Ovis aries: one gene and its partners. The protein of the gene in region 1 purifies or fractionates together with the protein of each later gene. This does not show direct contact. Links are inferred from orthologs where the notes say so. Each region holds a gene or a part of one and is shown in the gene's direction. Other genes may lie near its edges.

Region 1 (4,481 bases):
TCATCTATACATCTTTGGCCTGCCAACTGAAACAGGCCAAAATCTTCCTCTTTAAAGTCTTGCTCTTCTAGGATTTGCTGGCAGAAACAAACAAAAAAACAAGTATGTTTAGGCAAATGGAAATTCAATAACTATTTGATTTTTCTCTAAAAAAAGAAATCTGTTTAAATTCTAGATAAGCTGCACATAATCGTATGTATGAAAATTAGGATTAGGTAAAAAAATACTTCAATAAATCGCCTTGAAATCCACTGTGCCAAAGAAATCTATGATAAGGATCCGTATTAAAAGTGTAAAGATTATTTCCCTAAGTGACATATCCAATCTGTCTTCCTGCCTTCATGCTATTTATTCATAGGTCAAAAAAAGCAAGGATTAAAGAAGATTAACAATTTGAGTGACTGCAGGTAACTAAAAATAATCTGTGCTCTTCCCATATTCTGAAAGGTCATTAAATGTCATTAAAAATAAAAACAAAAAATTACTTACACATCTCTTTATGATGGACTGTAGTTCCTCCACAGCCATTCCTTATTTTTTCCAGTTTTGATGCTGAAATTTATCATATAAATACCCTGTTAACTATCAATAGTAAGTTACTTCATCATGTTACTTCAGTATAAGTTACTTCATTCTTATGAATTATTAATAAATACAATAAAGAAAATGGAAAGTTTTTAAAGCTGAAACTTTTTTTTACTGAAACGTTAGCCTAAGAAATTAAAACAAAAAACAGAAGAACAAAAACCTCTTTTTCGTCCTTTAAGTTTTTTTGGAGCATAATTTTGAAAGATAAATTGAAGGGGAAAGAAAGTCTTTAGTTCATTCCCAAGAGGTAGCACAAATTTACCCTAAGATCTTTTAAAAGACAGTCTTCACCCTCCTCCTCCACCCCTGCGCCCCAAAGGTGGGCCTGAAATCAATTCTAATTATCAGGGAGCCTTTTTCTTTTCTTTTTTTTTTTTAATGTCCCATTTGACAGAAATTGGAATGTAACACTGGAGGGGATGAAAGTTGGGATGCCTTCCACCCCAAGAGTAACAAGCATTACAGACCCGGGCATCTGTCTGTAACAGATGTACTGCGCCCCGCCCCATATAATCAATTGTGATAGTGAAATCACTGTATCGCGCGAAGACAGGCAACAGGCCGCCCTCAGGGCAACACCGCCCGGTTCGCAGGCCCAGTAGTAGAGACGGGGTTCCGCCGGATCCTCACAGCAGCGAATAAAACCCCAGCGCGCGTGCAGGCTGCATCCAAGGGAAGCCATTTCTCCCGGTTCCTGCCTGCGTCGGCCATTGGGCCCCAGACCTCACGGAGGCCTCGACCCCGAAGCCGGGTCCTCCACGGCTCACCTCCCACCGCGGGCCCCGGCCGCCAGGGACCCCGCGTGTATCCACCTACCGCCAGGCCTCTCGCCCGTCTCGCGGCTCTCCTCCGCCGCCGCCACCGCCGCCGCGCTGCTTTCCGGGCCCCTCCCCTCCCAGCCGGCCCCGCCCCGCGCTGCGCGACGGGAGGCGGAGTCTTGGGGGGGAAAGACGCCAAGGTCGGTTCCGACACTGACGACGCATGCCATGGCCGACTGGGTCGGACCGTGCTCTGCGGGCCGCAAAGCCCGGCGTCCCCGCGCCTCCCGAGATGTCCCAGGTAGGAGGAAGGGCCTCTTCCCAAGTTTGGAACTGAGAATTCGGCCCCGACAGAATTCCAGACGGAGGCATGCGGGCGCTCCCGAAAGGCTGCCCCAGGGAAGGAGATCCTCGGGGGCAAGAAGGCCAAGAGCTTTCTACCGCCGAACTCTCGCCTTCTGGGAAAGACCTTCGTCCGAATCCCCAACTCTTGACGCTAGTCTTCCAAGATTTCCCCCCAAATGGGCTGGCTGTGCTCCAGGCTCTAAGGGAAAGGGCAGCAGAGGTCCTGGAGAGCCTACAATCGGGGTCGTCTGAGTGGGCAGGTGACCAGGAGGGCGTTGGAAGGCCGAGTGCTGCTGGCCTTCACCCTAGCACTGGCCGTCCTTGCAGGTGGACTGCCCCTGTGGTGCCCTGGATCTCTTGAGGACCGGAGAGCTAACATTGAGGGGGACGGAGAGAGGTTGCCCCTAGATCGCAGGCTTTCGGGAGTGCTTAATTATGCGACTAGGATAATGAGAAAATTCAGTCTGAAAGAGGTACATTTTAAACAACAAAAATAATTAGCTTGCAAAACCAAATTGGATTCCCTTCTCATTTCATTTGATTTTCACACAGAGTTGGAAGTGAAATGTGTGGAGAAGAAAAGATGGTCTACAGTTTACTGGGGCAAGAATCTGTCCTGTAACCTGGTGTTTGTGTACACTTGACCTACTGTTTTTTGTTTCTTTTAATGGTAGGTACTAAGCAGACAAGTGCCTTGAACCAAGAAGATACTTCTCAAAGGTATGAGAACTACATAGAGAGCTGCTTTCACTTATCTGTTAATCTCATACTAATTGAACCATTTGTAAAAAGTGTAATAGGTGCTACCTCAGGTAAAATTATTTAGAGAGAAGGGGAAGATTTGAGAAGTACTGTAAACCCAAATAGACTGTTATTTCCCCTACTCTTCCATACCTTAAGAAAACCAAGTTGACACTTTTAGATTGCTGGTGAATGTATGACTATCTGTAGAAAAATGTCCTGAATTAGCTAGGAACCTTTTTTTCATCTCTTCAGATACTTTCCTTTTTTGTTCTATATACCAGACTCCAAGAAACTTTTTGTTGTTTTTCTTTGTTTACATCATGTCCATATTTTCAGCAAAAAGTTGTTCTATACTATTCAATGGGCATCTTCTAAAAAGGCAACGTTTATCTCCTAGCACAAAAGGTTCTTAGAATAGATGTCATCCTTGAGGATGATGTAACTGCATATATCTATAAGTTATGATTTTATGAAGTATTGGTTTTAATTTACTCATTCAAGAATTATTTACTGAATGTTAAATATGCTAGATCTGTGTTAGTCCCTGTGGATAAGATTTTTTTTTTATTTTAATTGAACTCTAGTTGATTTATATTAGTTTCAGATGTACAATATAGAGATTAAATATTTTTATAGATTATATTCTAAGTTATTACAAAATAATAACTAAATTTCCCTGTGTTATACAATACTTCCTTATTGCTTATTTATTGTATACATAGTTTGTATCTCTTAATCCCATACCCCACTCTTGCCCCTCCCCCTGCTGTTTCCCCACTGGTAACCACTGGTTTGTCCTCTATATAAGTGATGTCAGAATAATTGTCTTTCTCTGAGTTACTTCACAAAGCATAATATCCTCTAGGGACATCCATGTTGTCGCAGATTGCAGAATTTCATTCTTTTTTATGGCTGAGTAGTATTCCATGGCATGTGTAAACCACATCATCTTTATCCATTTGTCTGTTGATGGACACTTATATTGCTTCTGTATCTTGGCAATTATAAATTATGCTCCTATGAACATTGAGATGCATGTGTCTTTTCAAACTAGTGTTGTAATTTTCTTCACATATATACCCAGGAGTGAAATTGCTGGATCATATGGTAGTTTTTAGTGTTTTAGGGAACCTCTATACTGTTTTCCGTAGTGGGTGCACCAATTTACATCCCCACAAACAGGAGGATTCCCTTTTCTCCACATCCTCCTCAACATTTGTTATTTGTAGACTTAAATGATAGCCTTTTTGACAGATGTGAGGTGATATCTCATTTTGTAGCTTTGATTTGCATTTCTCTGCTGATTCGCGATGTTGAGCATTTTCTCATGTGCCTGTTGGCCATCTCTACATCCTTGGGAAAGTGTCCTGTTTCTTCTGCCCAGTTTTTAATTGGATTGTTTTTTTTTTGATATTGAGTTGTGTGAACTGTTTATATATTTTGGATATTAACCTCTAATTATTCATATCATTTGCAAATATTTTCTCCCCATCAGTAGATTGTCTTTTCATTTTGTTGATGGTTTCCTTTTGTTTGCAAAAGTTTTTAAGTATAATTAGGTCCTTCCTGTTTGTTTATATTTGCTCTTTCCCTTCATCTTGGAAGACATTTTAAAAAATTGCTAAGATTTATGTCAAAGGCTGTTCTGCCTGTGTTCTCTTTTGGGAGTTTTTCAGTTTCAGAGGCCCTGAGGATATGATTTTGAACAGTATAGACACAGTTCCTGTCTAGTAGAACAGAGAAATATCAATTAAATTATCACAAATAAATACATAATTGCAAATGAAAAGGCTGTGATGGAACTAAAAACAAAAGAGGTTGGCAGGAAGGGTGGTATGTGTTCAGGGAAAAGCTTCTCTGAGAAAGTAATAATTAGACTGACTGGAAGGCTAGGTAGGCACTTACCAGACAGAGTAGTGAGGAGAGACTTCCAGCTAGAAGCACCAATATATGTGACAAGAAAAAAAGAAAGAGATATCCAAGGTCATGTGAAGCATTCTGAGCAAAGGAAGAAAGGAGTGTAGGAATAAGTTAGAGGCAGGGTTG
Region 2 (4,607 bases), on another chromosome or scaffold:
ACAACTTTGCCCTGTTCTTTTCTCCATAGTGCTTACCACCCATCACCTGACATAAGATGTATTTTATTGTTCATGCATTTATTATGTGTCTATCCCACTAGACTGAAAGCTTTGGGCAAGGACCAAATCTGGTTTTGCTCATGGTGAATTCTTATAACAGGGCCAAGGCAGTCAATAAATATTTGTGAAATTGATGGTTCTGAAACATAAGTGGTTCTAAAATTGGAGTCTTTCCAGGTATGACTGTCTCAAAGGCTTATGTCCCTCCCTTACAATGCCAGTGGCCAAGGGTGCCCTCTGAGGGCCAGTCACAGCCAATAAGCTGCCAATTTGGGAGTCTCCTTCAACCCTTTCCCATCCAGGCCCATCTGGCAGGGGTCAGGGTTCAGCCTGGCCTAGGCCCCTTTAAGCCCCAAGGTGGAGGGGAGATAATCCTAGGGTCCAGGCCTCAAGGATGCCTGGTGAGCCCTGTTTCTCCTTTGGCAAATGTTCCTCCTTCCTTCACAAGGCCTGTGTCTGCGTTTCTGAACCAGAAGGTATTTACACAAAACATCCTGGGTTTGGCGACAAATTCACCCTTAATGAGGAATCCTTAATGAATCTCCTTCTTTCCCCATGCCAGGTGGCTGCAGGGAAAACTAACTGCCTCATCAGTTCAAGGAAGCCAAAGGCCAGGCAAAGACAGGGTGCTTCGAGGACTTTTGGGGCCACAACTTGGTGGAGGGCCTTTCTTCTTTCAGGATCCAGAAACAGCTGTGGTCTAGAAGCTTGAGCACTCCTGGACCATGTTTGCTCCTGACTTGCCGTGGGACAAGGAACAAGCCTCAGCATGCAGCTGCGAGATGTGTAATAACCCACCCATACAAAGATGGTTGTGAAATTCAAGGAAGGCAAGGGGTGTGAAAGGGCTTGGTTACAGTGGCCAAAAGGAGAGCAATACAAGCTGGAGTCAGGGAGACAAGAGGTCAGAGCTCTAGTACTGGGTCTGCTGTTGACTTTTTAAAACCCTCACCACCCTCTGAACCTTGGCTTTTCCAGCTGTACAGTGAGGGGTTTGGGTGTGAAGATCTCTAGGGAATCTTCTGATTCGGAAGGGCAGCCACTTTCCACCTGCCTACTTCTTCTTGGAAATCTTCCCAGCTCCTACAGCCCACAATGATTCACTTTCCAGCATTTCCAACTCTTCTGAGCTGGCACTTCATCACTCACCGCCCTTCCTAGGGTCTAGGTCAGCTATTCTTGACACTGGGTCCAACACAGGGGCTCAATGAAAGTAGAGGTCAAACTGAATTTTAAGACTCCTGCCTCCTTCCAATCCTGCGGAAACACAATGAGAAGGATTTTTATTCACTCTCATTTTATAAATCAGAAACTGCTACACTTGCTTCCTTGGTGCTCCTCAGGCAGGGGAAGAATGGCTTGATTTCTCCAAAGCCCTATCACTGCCTCCCATAGTATATAATTATTTGTTTTGTGATCAATTGTTTATGTTACCCACTAGATGAAGTTGCGCGAGGGGCAGGGACTTCGTTTTGTTCACTTCCGTATCCTCAGCGCCTAAGAACTATCCTAAGGGAGGGCGAGGTTAAGAGGTTTGGACCTGCAGGGGGCGCTCCAGCCCCGCCCCCAAGCTAGGCCCCGCCTCTCGCGTCCGCTTTCGTGCGAGCTTTGGAGCCTGCGCGCCTCCGTTCTTCTTTCAACTGCGCATGCGTGCCGGAAGCCCTGTGAGAACGGCGCGTGCGCGGACGGAGCTGCAGTGCGGCAGAGCCGGAGGTGAGCGCGATAGGATAGCGGCGTAGTGGAGTCGTGACTGGTAGGCATCATGTTGTCGCCCGAGGCGGAGCGGGTGCTGCGGTACCTGGTGGAGGTGGAGGAGCTCGCCGAGGAGGTGCTGGCGGACAAACGGCAGGTAGGAGGCCTGTCCGCGGGGCTGGGGCCCGGGTTTTGCAGTTGGGCCTGCGAGCTCCTAGGGCAGCGCGCGGGGTCCGGAATCCGGCTCCAGCTTGGGCTAGCTGTGAATTGACCTACTCTTGTGGGCCAAGGGCTGTGACGACAGACCGGGCGGTTGTGAGATCATGTGGGCCAAATGTCGAGTGCGTGGCACAGCGCCGCGCTTGACTCCTGTATTTGGCACATATTAAGCCCGTCTGTGCCAGGCCTTTCCTCTCTCGCCATCCTTCCTCTGCCCTTTGCCCAGCTTTCCGGATCCCGACCCATTACCTCTTGGGGCCTTTGGTTTACCTGAACCGCTTTTTCAAAATGCAGTTTCTGGGCCCCAACACTGACCTGGGCTGCACCGCTCCAGTCCAGGCCAGAAGAGGAACAGGAAAGAAGTCTGAGTGGTCTAGTAATCGCGCAGGAGTCGGGACGTGGGAGAAGTGTGGGGCCCAGGCCACCGGAGGGCCGTGGAGACCTGCACAGGGAGTTTAAGGCAGCTTGTGGTGGGCAGAGAGAATGATATAATGGATTGAGGCTTTGAAAGATCCCTCTGGCTGCTCTGTAGAGCACAGACTATAAGAGGGGAAGGGGTGAATGAGGGGCCAGGTAGGGGATGGGTTTGGGCCTAGGTGGTGGTGATGGGTCATCTCCCTTTGGAGATGGCCTCCATGATGCTGAGGTATAGGGGTGAGGGAGTAGGAGGGATCAAGAATGATTCAGACTCCTCATCTCCAGTTAGAATGATTGGGTACTTGGTCAGTTGGGTATTAAGGGAGAGCCTAGTAAACACTGCATCAAGGTGTGCTGGCTGACAAATAGCAGTTAAAGTTGATTGAGTACTTACTGTGTATCAAGTACTGTGCTGACTTAGTTCCTAGGTTAATAACCTAGGTGGTGGGTCCTCTTCCTGTCCCTGTTTTTCAGAGAGGTGAAGTCACACCGCTCATAGCAAGCTGCAGGATTCAAACCTGGGTGTTCTGCCCCAGAGCCTCCACTGCCAGGCAGTAGTACTGCACTGCCTCCTCACTTTCTTAGTAGCCATTTTGCTGTGACCACTGTCTCAGTGCCTTTCTGATGTAATATTGTTGTTTTTCTCAGGATACTCGGTCAGAATCAGCTGGAGGAGCTTGTTCAGGAAGTGGTTTCCACTCCCCTGGTGATTCTGAAATGCCTTGAAGCTTGAGAACTAGTGCTCCCGTGGATGATAATAAAAAATTACCCATTTAGTCACTAGACATTTCCCCAGCTCCTCCTCTGGGGGGAAAGACACCTGGATGAAGCATCGTCTTTAAGGAGCTGGAAGCTGAGTGGGGGAGGGAGTACCTTCACACCTCTGTCCGCTTTAGGCAGGACATTAGAATTAACCGAGGAATGATGCCTTGTCGTCTTCGTCAGGTTTTAACAGCCCTGGTCTGTTGAGGGTACAGACCCAGGTAGGAGGTAACTGAGTTCCCTCCTGCCCCTGTGCTTTTCAGATTGTGGACCTGGATACCAAAAGGAATCGGAACCGGGAGGGCCTGAGGGCCCTGCAGAAGGATCTCAGCCTCACTGGTAAGCCTAGCTTCGTTGTTGCAGCCCAGGAGGCCTGTTCAGTTTACCTTCTACTGCCTTTGACTTATTCCTGTTAGAGACCAGGCAGGAGGCCACAGGTGTGTGGCACAGCCCGTGGAGATGGGAGAGATGGCATTGCAGGTCTGACCTAGACTGTGGCTCAGGATTTCAGTTTCTTACCTCAACCAGCAGGTTGTTAGCTGCTAGCTTATCAATTGATGACACTGGGAAAGTGCTGGGGGTATAAAAACAGTGCAGTTCCTGCCCTTGTGCTCTACAGGTGAGTCAACAGCATAAATACAGAACTGAAAATTGTAAGAAAGCTGCAGAAGGAAGTGAACACAGGGTTGGTCTTGGATAATGGGATGGTGGCTCTTTAGATGAGGCTAAGTGGTGGTGATGGAGGAAGCAATAGGGGAGGGGCAAGTGATCATGCTAGAGAGATGGGCAGAGGCCAGGCCATGATGAAGGGCCTCAGGAACCAAGCACTTAAAGTGCACTGGAAAGCCTGAACCCTTCCAGTGTCTTGTCTCCCCAGAGTAAAATCCAGAGTCCTGCAGGGCTCCGTGTAATTTCGCTGAACTCTCCCACCTTGTCTCCTCTGCTCTCACGCTCGCTTATCAGCTGCACCCTCACCGTTCTCCTTGCTGTTCCTGACACACCGGCACGTTACTGATCCTTGCTGTTCCTGGTTCCTCTGCCTGGCTTGCTCTTTCCCTAGATGGGTGTCTGCAGGGCTTGCACACTCCTCACTTTTGTCAGGTCTCTGCCAGCATGGCACATAATCTGTAAGACCTTCCAAGACTGCCTGGTATAAATGACAAGCTCCTCTTTTTGGCATTCCCCATCTCTCTTTCCCTGCTTTAGTTTTCTCTAAGATACCTTTCAGGGTCTGATGAATCATATCTTTATTATCTTGACGTTGTTGTATATTCTCTCTCCTCCACTCTAACAAGCTAGGAAGGCAGGAATTTCGTCCTGTTTTGCTGTGTTTTCAACATCTAAAGCAATGCCTGGCATCAAACTATTTGTTGAAGGAATGACTGTTTGCCATTTCAGAAGACGTGATGGTTTGCTTTGGGAACATGTTTATCAGGATGCCTCACCCTGAGACAAAG
Region 3 (3,971 bases), on another chromosome or scaffold:
TTTTTTAATGCCTGCTGTATCAGTGGACATCCAGTAAAGGGCAGCGTTTGCTTATGTTTACCACTTTTTTGTATGCAATGTCACCAGTTGGTGAAGGGCTTTTAATTGCCGTAGATCCTTTGAATCGAAGGATTAAGATAAATCTCAGTAACAAGAACAGCCTGTGTGGTTGCTAGAAACTTGAAATTAGGATGGGCAGTAATGATCACTAAAAGCACATGAGACTTCTCAGGACATCTAGCCTCAAGAGGAGCAGAGAAATTACTTCTGTGCATGTTTGAACAGCATCTGAATCTATCGTGCTAACCTCGGAGTACTTGAGGTGTTATTTATTAAAGAATGATTTAGTACAAACAGGGACAAATGGGGGCTTCCCTGGTAGCTCAGTGGTAAAGAATCTGCCTGCTATGCAGGAGACGTAGGAGCCATGGGTTCTATCCCTGGGTGAGGAAGATCTGGAGGAGGCCATGGCAACCCACTCCAGTATTCTTGCTGGGAAATCCCATGGACAGGAGCGTGCCATGGGGTTGCAGAGTCAGAGACAGCTGAAGCCCCTGAGCATGCACACAGACGGGACAGATGGAGGTATGTGTTTGCCCCCGCCCCTACCAGAGTATTCTGAGGAAGTGTGCTAAGGGTGGAGATGTGTATGGACTGAAAAGTGTGTATCTAGAATGAACACCTAGCTGCTCTGCTGTGTGCCACTTGGAGCTGCTGTACTGAAACCTACCTGCTGTGCCAGAGTGTCACCGGCAAAGGGAAAAAGGGAACAGGAAAGTCGTAACCTTGAGGTTTTAGATCCCTGTTAAACTCCCTTACTCAACCTCGACCTTCATGATGGATTAAAAGTGCAAGGACAGGCAGACAGGGCAAGAATCGACACCTTTCTCACGTGTCCAAAGCTGTCCTACAGCGTGCCCAGCTTTCAACCTCGTTGGCTTTGTCTGCCTGGGTGCTCACTTCCCCAGTGTGCTTCAGAAACCCTCTTTCCCACATTGCCTTAGAGTGGTCGGGATATAGTAATTCTGACTGACTCCTTTCCCCAGGCATATTAATGGTTGTTCTTTAAAAGAGGGAACTCAGTAATACAGAGAAGCTTCCCTGATTTCATTTTTAGACAAAAACTATAGAGAAGTGGCTCGTATATTAGCATCCTTTGGGGGAGCTTTTACAAAATTCAAGAGCTCTGAACCTGCTTCCAGAGGTTCTCATTTAATTGATGGTCAGTGAGGCTGGTGTTCTTCTGAGAATTCTGAGTTTCTCCAGAAATTTCCTAGGAGATTCAGTCAGAGTTGAGAAACAAAAAGGGGCTCCTTGTGGGTAGGCCTTCTGCCCCAGATGAAAACTTCTTACTCACCTGCTCTGTCTCGGGGAGCTTAACCCTTGGTCAGAGGGTGGAAAAGTTTCTAGTCTTTACAGAGGAAATAATAGTCAACTTTTTGATTCCCCTCTTCACACCCTGCCTCTACTAGGTGATGGAGTAAAGAAGGTTCCTCTCTTCTGGTTGAAGTCTGAAAACTTCCGTTATTAATAAAAGATATTTCTGCTGCAGAGAGTGGCCTGTTCCCCCTAAGCCAGACATGATCTTTATTGGTTTCTAGTCCGACACCTTAGTCTGCTGATTGCAGGGTTTCCTAAGTTTTTTTCCTTTTGTGCCATTGAGATCCTTCGGTGAGCCTATGAAGCCTTGGACCCCTTCTCAAGTTAAATATTTTAAATGTAGAAAATAAAATGCATAACATTACAATAGGAAAAAGTTATATTGAAATAGTTATTGAAGTAATAAAACTTGTACACTAATACATGGTTCTTTACTGATAAGTAATACTAGCAGTTGGTCTGATCATTTCAAAGTAGTGATAAATGTGAAAAATGATATAATAATGAAGCATCTGGTTTCTATTCGAGATAAACTCAAAGATACTGATAATACTCCTGTGGTTTTTTGCCAGCATTTATAGTCAAAAACACTGCTAAATTTTATTTTAAGCTTGTGGAAGTAAATATATACTTTTTATTATCCTTGCCCCGGTATACCTGAGAATCCTATATGCTTCAGTTAAATATTGATACATTAATATGTTAATCTTTTTTTTACAGGTGTGAAGCAGCAATTTAAGATTGTAGTTTTTCCTAAGAATGAGTTTCTCTACTTGAGTATTTCCCAAATCCCTCTCTTGATCCTAAGGCTCACATAATCTTGTTTTTCAGCATAAACTGAGTGCTTTATCAGATTTTCTGCAGAGCATTAGCTGGATAAGCTAGATAGGTCCTCTCTGAACTCCCACAGTGCTAATGAGAGTGGTTTGATGTTACAGGAATACAAGCGCAAGTTAGCCAGAGTTTCCCTGGTGCGCAAAGAACTCAGGTCCCGGATCCAGAGCCTGCCGGACTTATCTCGATTGCCCAATGTCACTGGCAGCCACATGCACCTGCCCTTTGCGGGGGATATCTACAGTGAAGATTGATGACCAGTCTCTTTCCAGGGCCCAGGACTTTGCAAGAGATGGAGACAGGTTAGGTGGATAGTGCTGTAGTGTTATTTTTGTATATTGTTGAGAGTGACATTAACAAAAAGAAATGACAGGTAATTTATAAAATTGTTTAAAATGTTGGTTTGTTTACTATTTTATTGGTAAGTTAACATGACTTAGTTTAAACAAAGTGAATCTCTATGTGTATTAAGCTCACAAGTAGTGATTATTTTCAAAAGATCTTTTTGTAAATTTTTTTGATCCAGGGCCTTGTGAGAAATTTCCATGTTTCTATTTCTTCATGTATTTTCAAATGTTTTTCTTTATTTTCTTCAGTATCTAATCAGTGTATAGTATGTGATTCCTAAAGGGTAAGAACTAATCAGGTTGGTTGAGACTTTATTATGGTATAGTTAGGACTTGATTGTAGAAGGGACTAGGTGTTCCAACTTGATTTTCACCCTTCTCCTCAACCAAAACATCAGTTCTGTGCCTCTCAACACCTTAGATTCCTTATTCCCCAGAGGTCGGTCATTTAATACTAAACATGGATGTTGTTTTGAGGGTCAGATCAGAACCTGGAGAACCTTTCCACAACAGGGGTTCTGTCCAACAGCCACAGTGTAGGATAAAAGGAGTGTTATATAGGGACCCCTTGATTAAAAGCTGTTTAGAGTTATTTAGGTAGATAGCTATGAAAATGCTTTTGGAAATGTTTAAAAAAAATTTGACATTGTACCAAGAGAACAACTCTGATTCTGGAATCTCTGTTTGTCAAATCAAGCTCCTTTTAACATAATTGATCCCTTTAACATAAAAAGCCATCTGTGGGATTAAAAGAAGAGTAAAATAATGGTACCTTAATATTCTCTTAGCCATTTAACTTTAAAAAACAGTAGTATTTTTAGCTCTAATATCTCATGAACTCAATATTCATTAATGTTCAGTAAAGTAGCCTGGAACATTTTTAATGTTTCCTTAAGGTTTTTGAATTACGTATATTTGGGAATTAAGCAGTCCTACACTACAGGGTAGATATGGTAAATATTATATTTGTATATTTAGAATTACCAAAAACAAATGTACTTTTACCTTTTATTTCTAACCCTGTGTTAGAGCAATTGCATGCTCTCCTGCTTTCTCTTTAAATCACACTGTTAAGCTGTGGATTTTGTACTCAGTGATTATTTAGGATAAACATTTTTTTCCGTTGATTACATATTAAGACATTTTTCTTTTTGTTGTAAGAAGATTCATCTTAGTCAATAAAACAGCTTTTTAAATCCCACAGGTCAGTTATGTCTCACTAGTCTGAATGGCTTCACTCTTTCTCAGTATTAGAAATTATAGTTAAAGTGAATTTACTATATGTGAAGGAGAAAGCCAGTATTTCATTTTAGCAGCCAGTAGTTTTCAGAACAGTGCTCTGAACGGTTTGGCCTCTCCAAAACAGACACACTTAGTAGTAGTTCCCACCCATACATAGCTTATATCCCA
Region 4 (4,766 bases), on another chromosome or scaffold:
GAGAGAAAGCAAATGCTGTCAAATATTAACATTTGGTGAATCTAAGTAAAGGCTATATGGACATTCAGTGCCAACTTTCGTGTAGGTTTGACATTTTAAAATGAAGTTGAAAACGTTTTGAAACAGAAAAAAAGTTTTAAAAAAGAAATCTTACATGGACTCCATAATAAAAAAATTTTTTGTGAAATGTAAGCTAATAAACCATCTCCAGCTCATCAGAACTCTGTGCTCTCCATGTTAAAGATAATAAATGTAACACCCTTTTCTTCACAGGAAAATTGTATAGATTAACTTGATAATATTTGTCTACCTACCTACTGTCTCTTTTGATCAAACTAGATATAATTGCAACTATATTTAACATGAGATGATTTACCAAAAATAATTTTTTAAACTCACAAAGTTTTCCTTGCAATCGTCTTGTTCTAAGGGTAAAGAAAAGTTTGACTTGCTCAGGTTTTGAGCATTTGAAACAAAGCTTGGTTTTAGACTGCAAACCCACAAATTATCTGGGAAAACTTCCCTGATACGCTGGGTGCTCTAGGGCCTGCAGCCAGAAGTATCATTTGGGGGATCCAGCACTGGAGTTCTTCTTCAGGCCTGGACTTACTGAGTTAGAGGCTATTATTTGAAAATCTAACATAGGAAATAAATCCATTCGGTAATTTGAGCACATAAAAATAAATACAAAGTTTACACATTTAAATAAAAACATAGGAACTCTTTCTAATGACAAGATAACCTATCTTGGGCAGAGGACTTCAGCAACCCTCTATTTGACGCCCCAATTAAATGACGTGATCAGCCATGAAATTAAAAGATGCTTTGCTTACTCCTTGGAGGGAAAGTTATGACCAACCTAGATAGCACATTCAAAAGCAGAGACATTACTCTGCCAACAAAGGTCCGTCTAGTCAAGGCTATGGTTTTTCCAGCGGTCATGTATGGATGTGAGAGTTGGACTGTGAGGAAAGCTGAGTGCAGAAGAATTGATGCTTTTGAACTGTGGTGTTGGAGAAGACTCTTGAGAGTCCCTTGGACTGCAAGGAGATTCAACTAGTCCATTAAAGGAGATCAGCCCTGGGTGTTCTTTGAAAGGACTGATGCTAAAGCTGAAACTCCAATACTTTGGCCACCTCATGAGAAGAGTTGACTCATTGGAAAAGACTCTGATGCTGGGAGGGATTGAAGGCAGGAGAAGAAGGGGACGACAGAGGATGAGATGTCTGGATGGCATCACCGACTCGATGGACATGAGTTTGAGTGAACTCCGGGAGTTGGTGATGGACAGGGAGACCTGGCGTACTGCAGTTCATGGGGTCACAGAGTCGGACACAACTGAGTGACTGAACTGAACTGAACTGATTAGACATAGTGCGTTATCAACCTCTGCTTGAACTCCAGTCATGGACTGCGGGCTACAGAGCTGGAGTCGTCAAAGGTGCATATCAGAAAATTTGTCTCCTTTTCAAAACTTATGTTTAATGCTGACATTTATTTCCATTATTGAAAGTCAAACCCAAGCTTCCCTTGTGAAAACTCAAAATCCAGGGCGATGCAAGGATATACTTTCCTTTTTACAGACCACATTCATAATCTTTTCTTGCCCGGCTGCTTCTGAAGCTCTGACTTTTAAACACCAAAAGCTGTACTCGCTCTGTGTGTACCGCCACCTCCGGCACCCGCCAAATCCCATTAAACCCCACCCCCAGCAACAGTGCACTATCCCCATAGGCTTGTTGCGCAGTCCAGGTTCCCACGCTCTTCAGCCTTTCTTAATCAGCGGATTTCTTAAAGCCCCGCCCTTTCCTTCTCTCCGGCGTTTTTTTCCGTTCAGGACTGCCTCACCCACCCTGGTTATTTGGTTGGCCAGCGCCCCCGCCGTACGTCATTTACCCGCGCCACCCGGAAGCCACGGTTCTTACTAACACTTCTTTTTGCCGGCGGCTTTCAGGTAACGGCAGCGCTTGGGTGTCCCTGTGTGATGGGGTCCCAGAGCTGGGAGGGGCGGAAGGCTGAACCCTCGGCATAAGCCGGACGACTCAACTCCCAACACTGAAAAGGTGCAGTTGCACTGTGCTTGAGACCAAACTGAGACCAGTGGTCTTCAACGTGGTCTTTCTCCCTCCCCATTCCTCAGGAGCCCATCATGGCGACGCCCCCTAAACGGCGGGCGGTGGAGGCCACGGCGGAGAAAGTGCTGCGCTACGAGGCTTTCATCTCTGACGTGCTGCAGCGGGACTTGCAGTAAGTGACAGAACGGGGGGCGGAGCTATTGGAGCGGTCCACGTGGTGAGCGGGGCGTTCGAAGTCAGGGCCTGGCCTTCTGATTGGTGGGTGAGGCGTTCAGAGCCCGGCCCCGTGCGCCATTCGAGGAGGAAGGAGGGGCGATATCCGGGGTGCAGCGTCGGGTGAGGAGGGAGACTTGGTGATTTAATGGTGCCTGTGTACGCGCATGCGCGGCTTCCGATGACCTTAAAGGGTTAAGAATTAGAGTTCTGAAGCTGGAGTTTTCAGGTTCGAATCCTGGCTTGACCATTTTGCTTTCCGTGTGAATACATACTTCGCCTCCACTTGCTGTGCCTCAGTTTCCTCATCTGTGAAATGGGGAAGTTAATGCAGCCTTCCCCACGGCAGTGGGTTTGTGTTTTCAGTGTATTCAGTCCTTGTAAAGGGTTTAACTTGGATACTAGAGGCTCAATGAGTATAAAAAATTATTATTACTATCATTATTAATCAGAGCAGGAAGGAGAGTGTTCAGGTCTAGGATTATGAGCTCCTAAAAGAGATGGAGGATTTTTTTCTAGGGTGAGAATGTCATATTCTGATTGGAGGGAGGCATTGGGAGTAGAGTGTAATAATACTTGTAAATAAGAGCTAACTCATATAGAGAAATTTGTTTGGAGGGCACTATTCTAAATGCCTTATAGTAAATACTCATTTAATCCTCCTAATGACTCTATGAAGTAATACTCCTCATTCCTATTTTTAAAATGGGGAAATTGAGTTCCAAAGAGATTACTCACTTGCCAAAGTCACACAGCTAGTAAAATGGAAAGCCTGGATTCAAACCGAAGCAATCTGACCCAGAGGCCAAACCTTGACTTCTGCACTAAAATTCCTGTTTAGACTCTGGTGACAGGAGAGTCTCAGGGGTTCATGGTGTGAGATATTCCAAGAGGGACAGGGTTTCCTCTTGGTCACCATTTTACTCTTGTCCTGTCATGTCCCATCAGAAAGGTCCTGGACCATCGCGACAAGGTATATGAGCAGCTGGCCAAATACCTTCAACTGAGAAATGTCATTGAGCGACTCCAGGTAAAGATGCCAGGGTTAGGTAGTCTTTTTGTGGGCAAAGGAGGGGGAAGAGAGGAGATACCCAAGACCAAAACCTGTCACCTGACCTAAAAGTTGACCACTGATCCCTACCTCTTTTTCCCTGGCCCCACAGGAAGCTAATCACTCGGAGTTATATATGCAAGTGGATTTGGGCTGTAACTTCTTCGTTGACACAGTGGTGTGAGTATCTACCTGCCCCTCTGAGCCCACAGGGTTCAGCTTCCCTTTTCCTTCATTCAGCAAATACTTTTGTTAGTATTTGCTATGAACCAGACACTGCTCGGTGCTGAAGATGTGACAGTAAATAAAATAGGACAAATTATCTGCCCACCCTGACCTTCAGTTTGGGGAAGGTGGAGGATGGGGAGTAAAATAAATATTAAACTGTGTAGTATGCTAAACAGTGACAAGGACTTCTCCACTTCTGATCACCACTGTTTCCTTAGCCCAGACACTTCACGGATCTATGTGGCCCTTGGATATGGTTTTTTCCTGGAGTTGACACTGGCAGAAGCTCTCAAGTTCATTGATCGTAAGAGCAATCTCCTCACAGAGTAAGTCCATTGCATGAGGATACTGTCTAAAACAACACCATTTGTAACATCCTTCTTCCCCCTTTCACCCTGGCTACCTGGGATGGTACCTAGGAACCACTTTCCCCTCTCTCTAGGGGAGAGAACAGTGGGGATGCAAAGCTTAGCCCCAGGTGTAGCACATAATAAGTACTCAATAAATGGTCTCTGTATTGTTCACTCACACAAAAACTTATTGGGCATTTGCTGTATGCCAGGCTCTGTGCTTGGTGTTGGGGAGGCAGTATGAACAAGACAGAAGAATTCCTTGAAAGCTTACATTCTACAAGGGCTATAACTATTACACATCAGCACAGTTTTGACCAGATCCTGGAGGTCTCAGCCTGTAAATCAGTAACAGTAAAACAAGTTACCTCTGACTTCACCTTCTGCTAATTTTCCTGCTCATTCACTGTGCTCTCATCACATTAACCTTCACAGGCTTCTTTAAATGCCCACAAAGTGATCCCACCTCAGCACAACTGCAGTAACTGTTCTCTGTCTGCCTACAGCACTTTCCCCCCGATATATGCATGGCTTCCTTTTTCCTTATTCACTTGAAGTCTTGCTTAAATGTCACTTCCTATAACCTAACTTGAAAATTGCAACCCTTGCGCTCCTGATTCCCCTCCCTTGTTCTACTTTTTCTTTTTTTCTGTAGCACTTATGACCTCCTAATGTTTACTGTGTGATTTACTTTTTTATAATGTTCATTGCCTGCTCCCATTAGGATATAAGCTTTGCAAAGGGAGAGATTTTGTCTACGTCTCAAGTCACTAGAATAGCACAAAGCATATAGGAGTCATCCTGTGTTTGTTGAATGAATTTCAAAGCATATGCTGGAAATAGATTTAA
Region 5 (3,971 bases), on another chromosome or scaffold:
ATAACGGTACCTAACTTCACGTTATTTTGGGGATGGGATGAGTTGGGGTATGTGTGCAGCCATAGAACAGAGCCTGGCGCGTGCATAGTAGGTGCTCAGTGAACGCTAGCTGTTGTTACCATTGCTGTCTGTGTTTCTCTGTCAGCACATAGAGGCACAGATGCGCTGGGACTGTGCAGTCATAAAGGCAGGAAGGGATGTGGTTGAGGCCACATGCAGAGGCCTTGAGTGCTCTGCTCAGGAAGTTGGGGTGATCCTGTGGCCAGCCTTGGAGCTGGACAGTGGGTGACTGGAGCAGAAGGTGATACAAGGCTGAGAACCAGATTGCAGGGGGAGGCCTGGAATGTTGGCTGAGGTTCCTCTGACTTCCTGTTCCTCCCCCACAGGACAGTCGCTCTGAGCACGAACGCCAGTACCTGCTGTGCCAGGGCTTCAGCGGGGTTGAGAACACGGAGCTGGTCAAGTCCCCCAGGTGAGATGAGCCAGGCTGGGGCCGTGGAGGGCTGCTGAGCCTGACACTGGCCCTGGGAGCATCCCTCTCTCATGGGTCCTGCCTTGAGACTGTGGCCCCTTCTGTAACACGGTGGGGAGATGTGGAGGGGTCCATCATCCTCTGGAGAGGGCCAGAAGTGGGTGCTGGGCTTTGGGGCGGGGAGCGGCTTGGATACAACTGGTTGGTGGCCGGGGTGGGGCAAGGATAGAGCCCTGCAAGCTGCTGACCCATTCTCTCCCCCGACAGTGAGTACCTCATGATGCTGATGCCCCCCAGCCAGGAGGAGGAGAAGTGAGTAGAGGGGCCGAACGCCTTTCCGCACTGCCCCTTCCCACCCGCTAACCTGCCCCTGGCCTCCTAACCCTTGGTGTTGGTTTTCAATAGAGACAAACCCGTGGCCCCCAGCAATGTCCTGTCCATGGCCCAACTGCGCACCCTGCCCCTGGCTGATCAGATCAAGATCCTGATGAAAAACGGTGAGTGGGCAGCCCTGCCCTGGGGGTCCCCAGCCTTGCCACCTCCTGGGGAAGTGGAGTTGGGACAGACTTAAGGAGCGAGGCCCAAGGTCTTTGGAAAGTGCACTGAAGCTGGTGACAGGCCATGTTAGAGGGGCTGTAGGTCCCTGTGAGCCTGGGCAGGCCACTGGCCTTCCTGGGATGTGTTGTTTGTTTATGAAAAGGAACTAAGGTAGCTACGGGGCTGAGGTGAAGATTCAGAGGTGAGGCTTGTTAAAGGATTGTGCAGAGCCTCGCGTGTGAGCACGAGCGGTGTTCCTTTTCACAGTGAAGTGTGTCCCTTGCACCACTTTGTGGTCCCTCCCCAGGCTCCCCACAGTGACGACTCTGAGGCCAGAACCGTCAGAGTGGACATGAGCCTCGAACCTCAGAGCTGAGTCCCAGGCCCGAGGCTGCGGGGCTGGAGTGGAGAGGGGAGCTCCCTGGGGTCCAGAGGCTGCTGGCCTTGCTCCAGAACACATGGGCCTCCCCTGGCCCTGCCACTGCTCACCAGGGCTGGGGGCTCAGTTGGGGGTGGGGAGGTGGGGTGAGCAAAGCACAGTGACCAAGTGCATGAATTTTGGAGCCAAACAGCCTGGGTTCAAGTCCTGGCTCTGCCACTTACTAGCCAAGTGATCATGGGTGAATTTTGAAGCTTCTTGGGCTGGGTCTTCTCATGAGGCACTCCTCCAGGGCTCAGTGAGAGGCGGGGGCCTGCCCCGAGTGAGAAACAGTGACTGCAGCCGTTACGTTACTACTGTCCTGCTGGACTTGCTGCATGAGCCCAGGGCCCTCTTGGCTTGTCTGATGTCTCCTGTGTCCTCCTCAGTGAAGGTCATGCCTTTTGCCAACTTGATGAGCCTCCTGGGCCCCTCTGTCGACTCTGTGGCTGTTCTGCGTGGCATCCAGAAGGTGGCGATGTTGGTCCAAGGAAACTGGGTGGTGAAGAGGTAAGTTCTAGTCCCTTAGTTGGGAGCGATTAACCCAGTTAAATTGAATGTAAGTACTAATTGACCGACTGACAAAAACTCAGTTTAAGTTTTGGGCTTAAATCTACCTTAGTGCTTTCTGTTTGTCCTGTTGGCATGTTATATTCATTTTTCCCTTCTTTTCTTGTTACTGTTTTCACCAGTAACTGGGAAGTTACCTTTCTCGACTCTTTCAGAGATTACCCTACAGATTTCTCAGTTTAATATTAGTTGCTACTTTTTCGGAGAAGGCAGTGGCACCCCACTCCAGTACTCTTGCCTGGAAAATCCCATGGATGGAGGAGCCTGGAAGGCTGCAGTCCATGGGGTCGCTAAGAGTCGGGCACGACTGAGCGACTTCACTTTAACTTTTCACTTTCATGCATTGGAGAAGGAAATGGCAACCCACTCCAGTGTTCTTGCCTGGAGAATCCCAGGGACAGAGGAGCCTGGTGGGCTGCTGTCTGTGGGGTCGCACAGAGTCGGGCACGACTAAAGCGACTTAGCAGCAGTAGCAGCTACTTTTTACCCTCATCCATGATGATTCAACAACCTTTAGGTTTTGGTCTTCCTCTCAACTCATTTGTCATTGTATTTGTATATTTTAATTCTCTATTTTAAACCTTGTAAGATGTTATCCAGTTAATATTCTTTTTTTTAAATTAATTTATTTATTTTGCTCATCATTTCTTTCTGTATCTCTGAGTTCCTAAACATGATGATTTCCTTCTGTGAAACTGAGCATCTGCAGGTCATAAATTTGTTTCCTCTTTGTCTGGAAATGTCTATTTCACCTTTGTTCTTAAAGCTTATTTTGGTTTTTAATTTTATTCAAGTAGGGCTGATTTACAATGTTAGGGATATTTTTTATTGAGTATAGAATTTTAATTTGGTGATTTTCCTTCCACACTCTGATAGAATTTCATTGTATTCTGATCTCTATTGATTTTATTGTTAATCCACTGTATGTTCCGCTGTCTATGTTTCTTCGTTTCTCTCTGGCTGCGTTCAGATTTTTTTCTTGTTTTGGTTTTGGTTTTGCACAGCTCGTCAAGATGGGCCTCAGTGGGAATTTCTTATGTGTCCTGTCGGGCTGCGTAGGTCCTGGATTTGTGGCTTGCTGCCTTTTAGTAGTTTCTCTTCCGTGATTGCTTCTCCAGACTCTGCCTCCTCCCTAGACTGTCAGTTTCTAGGCGGCAGGGACTGTCTTGACTCCCTTTTCCCCTGGTACCGGGTATAATGCCTGGTACGTGGCCCACCCTTGGTAAACCTGACTACATTTAATGCACACTTGAATTATGTTATTTCTAAATTGTGTAAGGTAGAACACATTGAATACTCATGGTTTAGGGATGTGATACAAAGTGAGCTATCTGTCAAAGTGTAAATTGTTATAGATTTTTTTAAAAGTTGTTCATTGCGAAAAGTCCATCATTTCCCAGTTGGTTGGCCAAGAAGACTGCAAAGTATATTCATGTTAGAACCGCATGGTGACAGCCTTGCCCTGGAAAACGGACGGTGCCCGGTGTGCTTTGTGGGGCCTTGCAGCTGCTGTCTGTGTGACACAAGCGTCTAATTATGAGGGCCTCTGGGACGGCACTTCACCTGTTATTGGGACCATGTATGTGTGTGTGTGTGCCAGGGCCCTGTCCTGTAGGGCTTTCATGGGAAAGTGGGCCCAGCTCAGCCTTGAAGGAAAGTAGTAGATGGGTGCCAGGTGGGCTTGAGGGGGCAGGGAGAACAAAGGAGTGTGTGTCCCTGGGCAGCAGGGTCTGCATCTGGGTGTGGGGTCAGGGTTACGCTGTGGAAATGCTTTTAAGCTTTGGCGCCTGTCATTTGCCCTTGAAGGTCCCTGAGCCTTGAGTGCTGGTCCCATTCTCCCCAAGGGCTTCAACCTCACCCATGCTTGGGGTCTGTCCAATCCCAACCCCTGACCCCTCCTGCCTCAGCTCACACTGCCTACTCCTTCCATTTGGGCCAGGGGTAAGGCCTTGGGTGCTGCTTCATTGCTGGCCT
Region 6 (3,971 bases), on another chromosome or scaffold:
GCGCTCACTCCCACATCCGGGGGCTGGGACTCGATGATGCCTTGGAGCCACGGCAGGTAGAACCCAGGGGGTCAAGCTGGGAAGGCTGCCCCAGGGAGGCCTCAGGTGGAGGGAACCCAAGGCCCTGGGGAACGCAGAGACTGTGTTATGATGTTCCAGATCTTTGGCTGTGCTGTATTTATACAATTCAGCCACACATAGGTCTCTAAAAGATGGGGATGGAGAAAAGCCTTTTTTTCTGAAGGCCTAGCCAACAGTTTTGGCCTGGAGGTGGTAGAAATGCAGCAGCAGCTCAGTAGAAAGTCACCTTCCTTATATGTTCTGTCACCTCCTGCCCCCAGGCTTCCCAGGGCATGGTGGGCCAGCTGGCGGCCCGGAGGGCAGCCGGTGTGGTGCTGGAGATGATCCGAGAAGGGAAGATTGCTGGCCGGGCGGTTCTCATTGCTGGCCAGCCAGGCACTGGGAAGACAGCCATTGCCATGGGTAAGGTGCTTCTCCAGGCAGTAGCTCTTTTGGCCTCACCGGATGATCCTCCCATGTAAGTCAGGGTCAGGTTCAGCCATGTCTAACAGACAGCACAGAATGGAAGTGGCTTAAACACTAAGGCTTTCTTCTGTCACATAGAAGAGTCTAAACATAGGCCAATTCAGGCTTGTTAAGCAGTTCTATGAGGGCTCCTACCTTCTTGCCTCGAGATCACTTGCTTCCATGTCAGGGACACCTTGGGTTACAAAAAGGTGGCCTATGCTCCAGCCATCCCACCCATACTCCATATAAGAAGAAGGAGAAAGGAATTGTAATGAGGGTGTACCTCCTAGAGGGAGCTCCTTTTAAGCAGCTGTCTCAGGGCACCCACATTCTCTTGCTTATATTTTATTGACTAGAAGTTAATGACCACACTCTACTGCACAAGAGAGAGAGAGGCATTAAAACTTTTTTTTATATTTTAATTGGGACTACTGTTACCTTACTGAAATGGGCGTTCTGGAACAAAGGAAGATGTGAAAGATGAGCATTGTATAGACAATCAGCAGTCTCTTTTGCAATTCATTAGTAATTTAAAAGCTTTTTACTCACAACTGTCCCTTATCCTTGTTGAGCTCTTATCTGTCCTTCAAAACTGCTCTCTGACATCTTTTCCTTGTTGAAGGTTTCCTGGAGTCTCTTCCCACTCACTCTCACCTTTGTGCCTGGACTGTGGGGCCAGGCAGTGAGACTCAAGGCAACAGCTAGGTCCTCAGTTAAGAAAAAGTAACACTCATATTTGGGGACACCAAGATGATTAAGACCAAAGTCCTGACTTTAAGGGGCTTCCAGCCTGGGGCAGGTGTTAGTGGACACAGTCCCGTCCATGTAGAGAACAGAGGAGGCTTCTCCTCCGATGAAGGGTGATGGGGAGAGAATGGGGTGGCAGTTGTCAGGAGGGACATCCCAGGTGAGTCAGTACTGGAACTGAGACTCGCAGGAAGTCTGGGAGTCTCCTGAACAGACAGTACGGAACATGATACCCAGGTGCAGAGTGTGGCATGCCTCTGGAAAGGGGACCAGGAAGAGTTGCCACCTCGCACTGGTCAGGAGGGTTCAGTGACTTCCTGTCTGGGAGACTTGGCTCAGAGCTGGGCAGAGCCCCCAGGAAGGGGAGCTGGCAGAGAGGCCCGGAGCTTGGAGTGATGGCAGGAACTGCCCACTGTCTGCCAGCTGACCCCAGGCCCCAGACCATAGAGGAGGCCCTTCCCTGTGCTGGTCCCAGGTCACATATCGGGGTCCCGGCTGAGCACCAGGGCATGCCTGCCCGCCCTTATCATTGCTCCTATGCAGCAATGTCGTTCCCTGCCAGCGCTTGTTATGTTATGGTTCCCATTACCCAGAGGGGCAGGCTGGCTTGGGGAGCAGCTTAGGCTTCTTAAGATAACTTGGTGCTAAGCATTGAAGCCGGGATTCGAACCTGCACAGTCTCTTTTAACCTCTTTCAGCCCCTTGCCTCCACCCCTGCTCATCCCCCCCAAGCCCTGAGGCTAAACAGCTCTCAGAGGTTGGGAGGCAGGTCCAGCATGACTGTAGAGTCATAAAGTTTTTGGTCTGGGCAGTGTGGGGTTCCAACCCAGGGCCTCCCAACATGGCCCGCCATCACTCACTTTCTGCAAGTCTCCCTGTCTGCCCCACAGCACCGAGCCCCTTTTTCCTGTCTGAAGAAGAAGAGCTGGTTAGGGAGATGTGAGGACCTCGTGCCTGGACCACCTACCCAAACTGCCTCCCCTCTTCCTCAGGCATGGCGCAGGCCTTGGGGCCCGACACCCCATTCACAGCCATCGCAGGCAGTGAGATCTTCTCCTTGGAGATGAGCAAGACAGAGGCACTGACCCAGGCCTTCCGGCGCTCCATCGGCGTGCGCATCAAGTAAGCAGGAGTAATGGTAGCTCCCAGCAGCCTTGGGACGCCACCTGAGGGATGCCAGCTCGTCCTGTGCCCAGGGGCCCACAGGGGTGAGCAGTTCCTGAGGGCCCAGGCCGCGAGCTATCTCCTTAGATCTGTTCTCTCGCCAGGGAGGAGACCGAGATCATCGAAGGGGAGGTGGTGGAGATCCAGATTGATCGGCCGGCCACAGGGACGGTGAGTGTGCTCCCAAGTCTAGGCTACCCCAAGGGCTGGGGGTGGGTAGGGTGTGCTGGGTCTGCACTGAGGTCAGAATCCCATGGAAAGTTCGAGATGCAGCTTAGAGTCATCCATATGCCGGCAAGAGAGGGTCGGTTGAATTGATGGCGGTTTGTCCGTTTGTGAGGGGCACAGTGAGCTAAGTGGTGGAACAATGGAAAAGGATATGGAAAAGAACATATTTATGTCTAACTGGATCACTTTGCTGTACAGCAGAAATTAACGCAATATTGTAAATCAACTATACTTGCCCCAAAAAACAAACCAAGCAATGGAATGACGGAGGAGGTCTTGAAGTTTCTCACAGTTAATTCCTAATAGTTAGGCTTACAGACCCGTTGGATTTATAAATCTTAGTACCTCAACTGTACTAACAGTACTAACAGTAAGAATTAACAGGACTTCCTGGTGGTCCAGTGGTTAGGACTCCGCAATTCCACCACAGATTCAATTCCTGGTCAGGGAGCTAAGATCCTACGCGCCTCTCAGCCATAAAACCAAGGCAAAGCAGAAGCAATATTATAACAAATTCAATAAGGACTTTAAGAAATGGTCCACATCCAAAAAAAAAAAACTTTAAAAAAAGATTTAAAAAAACCCTAAAACTTAGCCAGCACCTCCAACCCTGCCCCTTCCTCTGCCTCTTTCCACAGTACCCCATAGAAATAGCCGCCCTCACCCGTTGGAGTTTCATTAGCTTTTATCACCCAACTGTGTATTCCAAGACTGCCCATTTTAAAAACTTATATGTCTTTTAAGTCTTCTGTCATAGTCTGGTTTCCCCTTCATCTCTTTCTCTCTCTTTCAGTTTTTCTGTAGGTCTGTTTTTCACTGACATAAAATCACACAACATAAACTAACCATCAACCCTTTCAGAGTTGCTCCTCCTCCCCTCCCACGCCACCTGCAGTCCCTGGCAACCACAAATCTACTTCCTGTCTTAATGGACTTGCCTCTGATGGAATCTAAGAATATATGACTTTTTGTGTATGTCTTCGAGGTTCAGCAGTGTTTGTAGTTCTCTGTTAAATATTAAGTTACAGGTGTTAATAAAATGCAAAATAAAAGGAAGTCTAAAATTGCTTCAAATCCATTGACCTGATGCACAGTCCTACCTTCTGTTTCTGTGTCTTGCAGGAACACCCTCCTCTTTTTTCATTAGCTTCTCATTTTCAGTGGAAATAGACTTAAAGTGAATAACTGCGGTCAACTGCACTTTTAGCACTTGTAACAGCCTCCTAAATTAGTCTTATCTATTGGCAATTAAATTTTGAATTTTAAAAACACGGTAGAAAAAAAAACAATGTGGAAGAGTCTAA
Region 7 (3,971 bases), on another chromosome or scaffold:
AACATCTGAATATACCACAGAGGGATCAACGCCACAGTCTAGTTATCATCCATCATTTGTATCACCTTACATTTTACCCCCATCACCCATTTCACCTATAAAGCTAACCACCTTCTCTCTCTGGTAACCTCTTTTCTGTTCTCTATGTCTGTGAGTTTTTTTTGTTTTGTTTGTCTGTTGTTTTGGGTTTGGGTTTTTTCCCTTTGTTTTTAAGATTCCATGTATGAGTGAAATCATGTGCTATCTGATTTTCTCCTGTTTATTTCTCTTAATAGTCTCATGGCCCATCCCTGTTAATGTTTTTCTCTTTGACTATACATTTTCTTTAGTTTCAAGAAATGTTTCAGAGAGGTTGGATAAAGTTTATAAGGGATATTTATAAGTTAGGGCTTCCTTATAGTTCTTACGTTGTGTTTTAGTAATTCTACCCACAGGTATAAGTCTCATTTCCACAGACTTAACAATAAGTTCGACAAAGAAAGTGTTCCTAGTCTCATCGCCTTTTTAGATACATGATAGTATTTTATATAGTGATGGGTACAGAGTGATTTCTATTTTATGATTAATATTTGTTGAATTTAATGATAGTGAAAATGGGGAAATATGCTAGAAAACATTAGTGAGTTGTAACTGATTGTAAACTCATATTTTCCCAGTTCCTATTTTGATGAGAAAGGTTTGGTGAGACAACAGCTGGATTCTTTTGATGAGTTTATTCAGATGTCTGTTCAAAGAATTGTGGAAGATGCTCCACCTATAGACCTACAAGCTGAAGCTCAGCATGCTAGTGGAGAAGTTGAAGAACCGGTAAGATGGTTATTTTAATAAAGTAACATAAATAAGGGTATTGATTTGAAATTTCAGTCCTTTTCTCACCTGGCTTAAAGGTTAAAAAAGAAAGGTGTACTTTCTGTAGTGTACTTTCAACAGTTTCTATCAGCTCCTGATTTAGTCTTACTAGTGGAGAGATGCATTTTTGCGAGTAATGCAGAACTGTTAATTCCTATTCAGATAGTAGGTATTTAATAGTCAGGAAGAAGAATCTCAAGAGATATGATGAGCTACTGAGAGAAGCAAGCCAGAAATAGTCATATTACTTCAGAAAATCCTCCTTTTGTCTTTCCAAGTATAAGTAATAGAAAGAAAAAGTAGGTGAAGAACCTCTGCCTTGATTATTTGTTGCATGAAATACATTGTTATATCAATATAAGAGGTAAGGGGAAATCACCCAAATATATCAGCTCTTTTAATTTTTCTAAATTAGTTTGTAGTCTTTTTTTTTTTTAAACATGTGCATGTTTTCAGCATTGTTAAAATCATAGCAGGGCTATCATTTTAGAATCTAGTTTTGAGTGATTGTAAAGAAGTGTGTATGTAGTCGAAAACAATGACTGTCCCTAGTTTTTTTTCCTTAATTTATTTATTTTTAATTGGAGGATAATCGCTTTACAATGTTGTTGGTTTCTGCCATACAGCAACATAAATCAGCCATAGGTATACATATTTCCCTCCCTCATGAACTTTCTTCCCACCCCAGTTTTTTTTTTTTAAGTACTATTTATTGCTGCATGGTTTGGGGGAATCTCAATTTCCCCCACCAGGGATCAAACCTAGGCCATGGCAGCAAAAGCCCAGAATCCTAGCCACTGAGCCACCAGGGAATTCCATGTTCCTAGTTTTTGAGTAGAGAGGCAGCTTGATCGGTCTTGAGGGACAGGGAAAACTAAAAACCAAAATGAGGTAGAAAAGAAGTAGAAGTAGACAGAGGGAAAGATTATTATTTCCTGCCAGATCAGTCCCTCTTTTCCGTAGCTTATCTCATAAGTGCTGGTGTATTATTCTCATTTTAGGTGGAGCTACTGCATAGACTTTGCTCTTGAGAACAAAAATAATTGACTCTTCAGGCACTGTGTTGGAAAAATGGGTATAAAATGTCTTTGTTTTTTTTTAATGTATGGCATTTTTTTCTATATGGTCTTTTCAAAACGAGAGACAACAATATAGCATATTCAGAGTTCCAAAATAAATACTATGGAAGGAAGAGATCTCGTAAGCTTTGGTATCAGAGCTTAGTGAAAAAGATGGGAGGGACTTAAGCTGACTGTAAAGGGCATTTGTCTTAGTAGAGAAAAGATATTTAATCATTTCAGCAAGAGATACTTCATGAATTTGGCTTGTGGTTGGAATGGAGGGACCACCGTAGTCAGTGTATTGTTTTTGACTTGATCTCTTTTTGATAGTGGAAGATAAGATGGAACTAGGTTGTCACATGCTTGGATGTCATTGGCTGTCATGGGAAATTGTGGAAAGACTGTCAAAGAATGTATTAAAGTGTTATTTAAAAAGGTTGCTTTGGAAATGGTGTTTACTTGGAATGGTAAGAGACTGGAGTCAGATACAAATTTTGAAATAGCTTAAGTTTCAGATAATAATGTCCTAAACTAAGGTGATAGTGGAAATAAGTAGTTGGATGGCTGGATTCCTTTTGTTTCATTATCAACAGTAGTTCTTTTTGCTCTTTGCCTACTCCAGCTTGGGAAACTTGGGTATTCACAATTTTCCTTTAGTGATCTGCGTAGTTCCATCTTTTCCTTTTCTGAGGTTTGATTTAGAGAGAAATTCCGTATCCATTTAACTCTGGAAAGTTCTCTTGGATCTTGTTTTATTGGGTAGCAGATATTTAATTGAAAATTTTTCTTTCTCTCTTTTTTTTTTTTTAACTGTGAAATAAGCTATAGTCAGCCATGGTTGGAAATTCTCATTTCTTTATGTAGAATAGTAATTAGGATTTTCTGTTGTTGTTTCTTTTTTATTCCTCTTTGCACACAGTATTGAAAGAAGGTGGCTATCATACTGATTCCATACATCTCTTACACAGAAATGCCCCCTCAAGGATTCCCAGTTATCTGCCCATGGGAATTGGCAGTTAGTGAATGGGGCAGAATGCTAAGTTTTGGGAAGGTTTCTTGAGACATTTTTGTGGGAAGTTTTGGGTCAGAAGGAGAGATGAAACCCAGCAATGAACGTTCCATCCTTCATCTTCCTGGGGAAATTCTAATCCCAAAGGTTTTCTGAAGAAAGGCATCTCTTTCAGTGACCTCGGGATGGGTGGTGCCTGGATTAGGTTGGGGCAGAAGAGGACAGTGTTAAGCAGCAGAGTTCACAGACCCAAGGCAGAGAATTGAAATGCCTGTTGGGGAGAGAAGAGAGAAGGGGACTAAGAGAGCCTAGAGGTCCAAGTCCTAAATTCCACCCTGTCTCCAGTTCTGAGCAGAAACTCTTCTTCCCAAGACTCAAGTAGAGTTTTAATTCAGGGACTGTCTTTTCTCTAGGGCACAGAGAGGACAAGTCAGGTGGAGATCTGATGGTAGTGAAGGTGGAGAGTTAAGGTATCAGACACAGAGATGGACATTCCTACAACAAACACAGACCACAGCAGTTTTGAAGCTATGAGCCAGGATCAGGGTAAAAAGAAAATTCAGCTGTGTTGAAATACAGAATTTTATAGACCCTCTTCGATAAAATTTAAATCACTGTTTCCATGCTGTCGCTTCCTATGTTCCCAGTATTTTTTTCAAGACTAGAGGTCTGGGCAGTAAGAAGAAATAGGGGAAAATACTGAGACTTGAAATGCCACTCCCCACCCCCACTTATTCTATACAAAAGAATTCTCTCTCCCTCCCCTTGCTGTTGGGATGAAGGCTGTGTAAAGGCAAAAGGAGGAAAACCCTCAGCACGTTCCTTCTCCTGCTTTGAAGTGTAGTTGCACCACAGGGCACAGAAGCACAGAAGTAGAGGAGAAAATATAGGCTGTAGAAGAGCGTGGGAGCACGATCCAGTCAAAGAAGGAGGGTGCTTCCCCTGCCCTGTGTCCGATGTGCTCAGAGCTTTCCTTCCAGTACTGACAGAGAGGAGTGAGAAGGAAGGGCAAGCGTGTACAGGTTGGGGTGAGCATGGGGCACCTACAGACA

The links.
Region 2: the proteins of RPAP2 (region 1) and PDRG1 purify together in Homo sapiens (affinity purification with mass spectrometry; 3 studies listed by BioGRID and IntAct, with this or other methods). This does not show direct contact. The link is inferred for Ovis aries from reciprocal best matches to the Homo sapiens genes RPAP2 and PDRG1.
Region 3: the proteins of RPAP2 (region 1) and RPRD1A purify together in Homo sapiens (affinity purification with mass spectrometry; 3 studies listed by BioGRID and IntAct, with this or other methods). This does not show direct contact. The link is inferred for Ovis aries from reciprocal best matches to the Homo sapiens genes RPAP2 and RPRD1A.
Region 4: the proteins of RPAP2 (region 1) and UXT purify together in Homo sapiens (affinity purification with mass spectrometry; 4 studies listed by BioGRID and IntAct, counting the BioPlex papers as one, with this or other methods). This does not show direct contact. The link is inferred for Ovis aries from reciprocal best matches to the Homo sapiens genes RPAP2 and UXT.
Region 5: the proteins of RPAP2 (region 1) and POLR3E purify together in Homo sapiens (affinity purification with mass spectrometry; 3 studies listed by BioGRID, with this or other methods). This does not show direct contact. The link is inferred for Ovis aries from reciprocal best matches to the Homo sapiens genes RPAP2 and POLR3E.
Region 6: the proteins of RPAP2 (region 1) and RUVBL2 purify together in Homo sapiens (affinity purification with mass spectrometry; 3 studies listed by BioGRID and IntAct, with this or other methods). This does not show direct contact. The link is inferred for Ovis aries from reciprocal best matches to the Homo sapiens genes RPAP2 and RUVBL2.
Region 7: the proteins of RPAP2 (region 1) and POLR2B purify together in Homo sapiens (affinity purification with mass spectrometry; 3 studies listed by BioGRID and IntAct, with this or other methods). This does not show direct contact. The link is inferred for Ovis aries from reciprocal best matches to the Homo sapiens genes RPAP2 and POLR2B.

Annotation. Positions count from the first base shown.
Region 1 is NC_056054.1:69,550,160-69,554,640, forward strand, and holds the start of RPAP2 (putative RNA polymerase II subunit B1 CTD phosphatase RPAP2), read left to right. Parts: upstream 1-1,561; 5' UTR 1,562-1,574; coding exon 1,575-1,647; intron 1,648-2,365; coding exon 2,366-2,411; intron 2,412-4,481. Other genes in the region: GLMN (glomulin), read right to left, coding at 1-77, 490-528.
Region 2 is NC_056066.1:61,136,997-61,141,603, reverse strand, and holds the start of PDRG1 (p53 and DNA damage-regulated protein 1), read left to right. Parts: upstream 1-1,726; 5' UTR 1,727-1,822; coding exon 1,823-1,909; intron 1,910-3,413; coding exon 3,414-3,489; intron 3,490-4,548; coding exon 4,549-4,607. UniProt on the Homo sapiens protein: May play a role in chaperone-mediated protein folding.
Region 3 is NC_056076.1:21,481,081-21,485,051, forward strand, and holds part of RPRD1A (regulation of nuclear pre-mRNA domain-containing protein 1A), read left to right. Parts: intron 1-2,318; coding exon 2,319-2,468; 3' UTR 2,469-3,971. UniProt on the Homo sapiens protein: Interacts with phosphorylated C-terminal heptapeptide repeat domain (CTD) of the largest RNA polymerase II subunit POLR2A, and participates in dephosphorylation of the CTD by RPAP2.
Region 4 is NC_056080.1:57,168,227-57,172,992, forward strand, and holds the start of UXT (protein UXT), read left to right. Parts: upstream 1-1,887; 5' UTR 1,888-1,954; intron 1,955-2,140; 5' UTR 2,141-2,149; coding exon 2,150-2,247; intron 2,248-3,236; coding exon 3,237-3,318; intron 3,319-3,451; coding exon 3,452-3,519; intron 3,520-3,785; coding exon 3,786-3,893; intron 3,894-4,553; exon of another isoform or gene 4,554-4,766. UniProt on the Homo sapiens protein: Involved in gene transcription regulation. Acts in concert with the corepressor URI1 to regulate androgen receptor AR-mediated transcription. Together with URI1, associates with chromatin to the NKX3-1 promoter region.
Region 5 is NC_056077.1:20,535,636-20,539,606, forward strand, and holds part of POLR3E (DNA-directed RNA polymerase III subunit RPC5), read left to right. Parts: intron 1-386; coding exon 387-472; intron 473-739; coding exon 740-784; intron 785-877; coding exon 878-969; intron 970-1,816; coding exon 1,817-1,937; intron 1,938-3,971. UniProt on the Homo sapiens protein: DNA-dependent RNA polymerase catalyzes the transcription of DNA into RNA using the four ribonucleoside triphosphates as substrates.
Region 6 is NC_056067.1:55,305,142-55,309,112, forward strand, and holds part of RUVBL2 (ruvB-like 2), read left to right. Parts: coding exon 1-56; intron 57-341; coding exon 342-483; intron 484-2,267; coding exon 2,268-2,397; intron 2,398-2,543; coding exon 2,544-2,610; intron 2,611-3,971. UniProt on the Homo sapiens protein: Possesses single-stranded DNA-stimulated ATPase and ATP-dependent DNA helicase (5' to 3') activity; hexamerization is thought to be critical for ATP hydrolysis and adjacent subunits in the ring-like structure contribute to the ATPase activity.
Region 7 is NC_056059.1:73,104,057-73,108,027, forward strand, and holds part of POLR2B (DNA-directed RNA polymerase II subunit RPB2), read left to right. Parts: intron 1-656; coding exon 657-807; intron 808-3,971. UniProt on the Homo sapiens protein: Catalytic core component of RNA polymerase II (Pol II), a DNA-dependent RNA polymerase which synthesizes mRNA precursors and many functional non-coding RNAs using the four ribonucleoside triphosphates as substrates.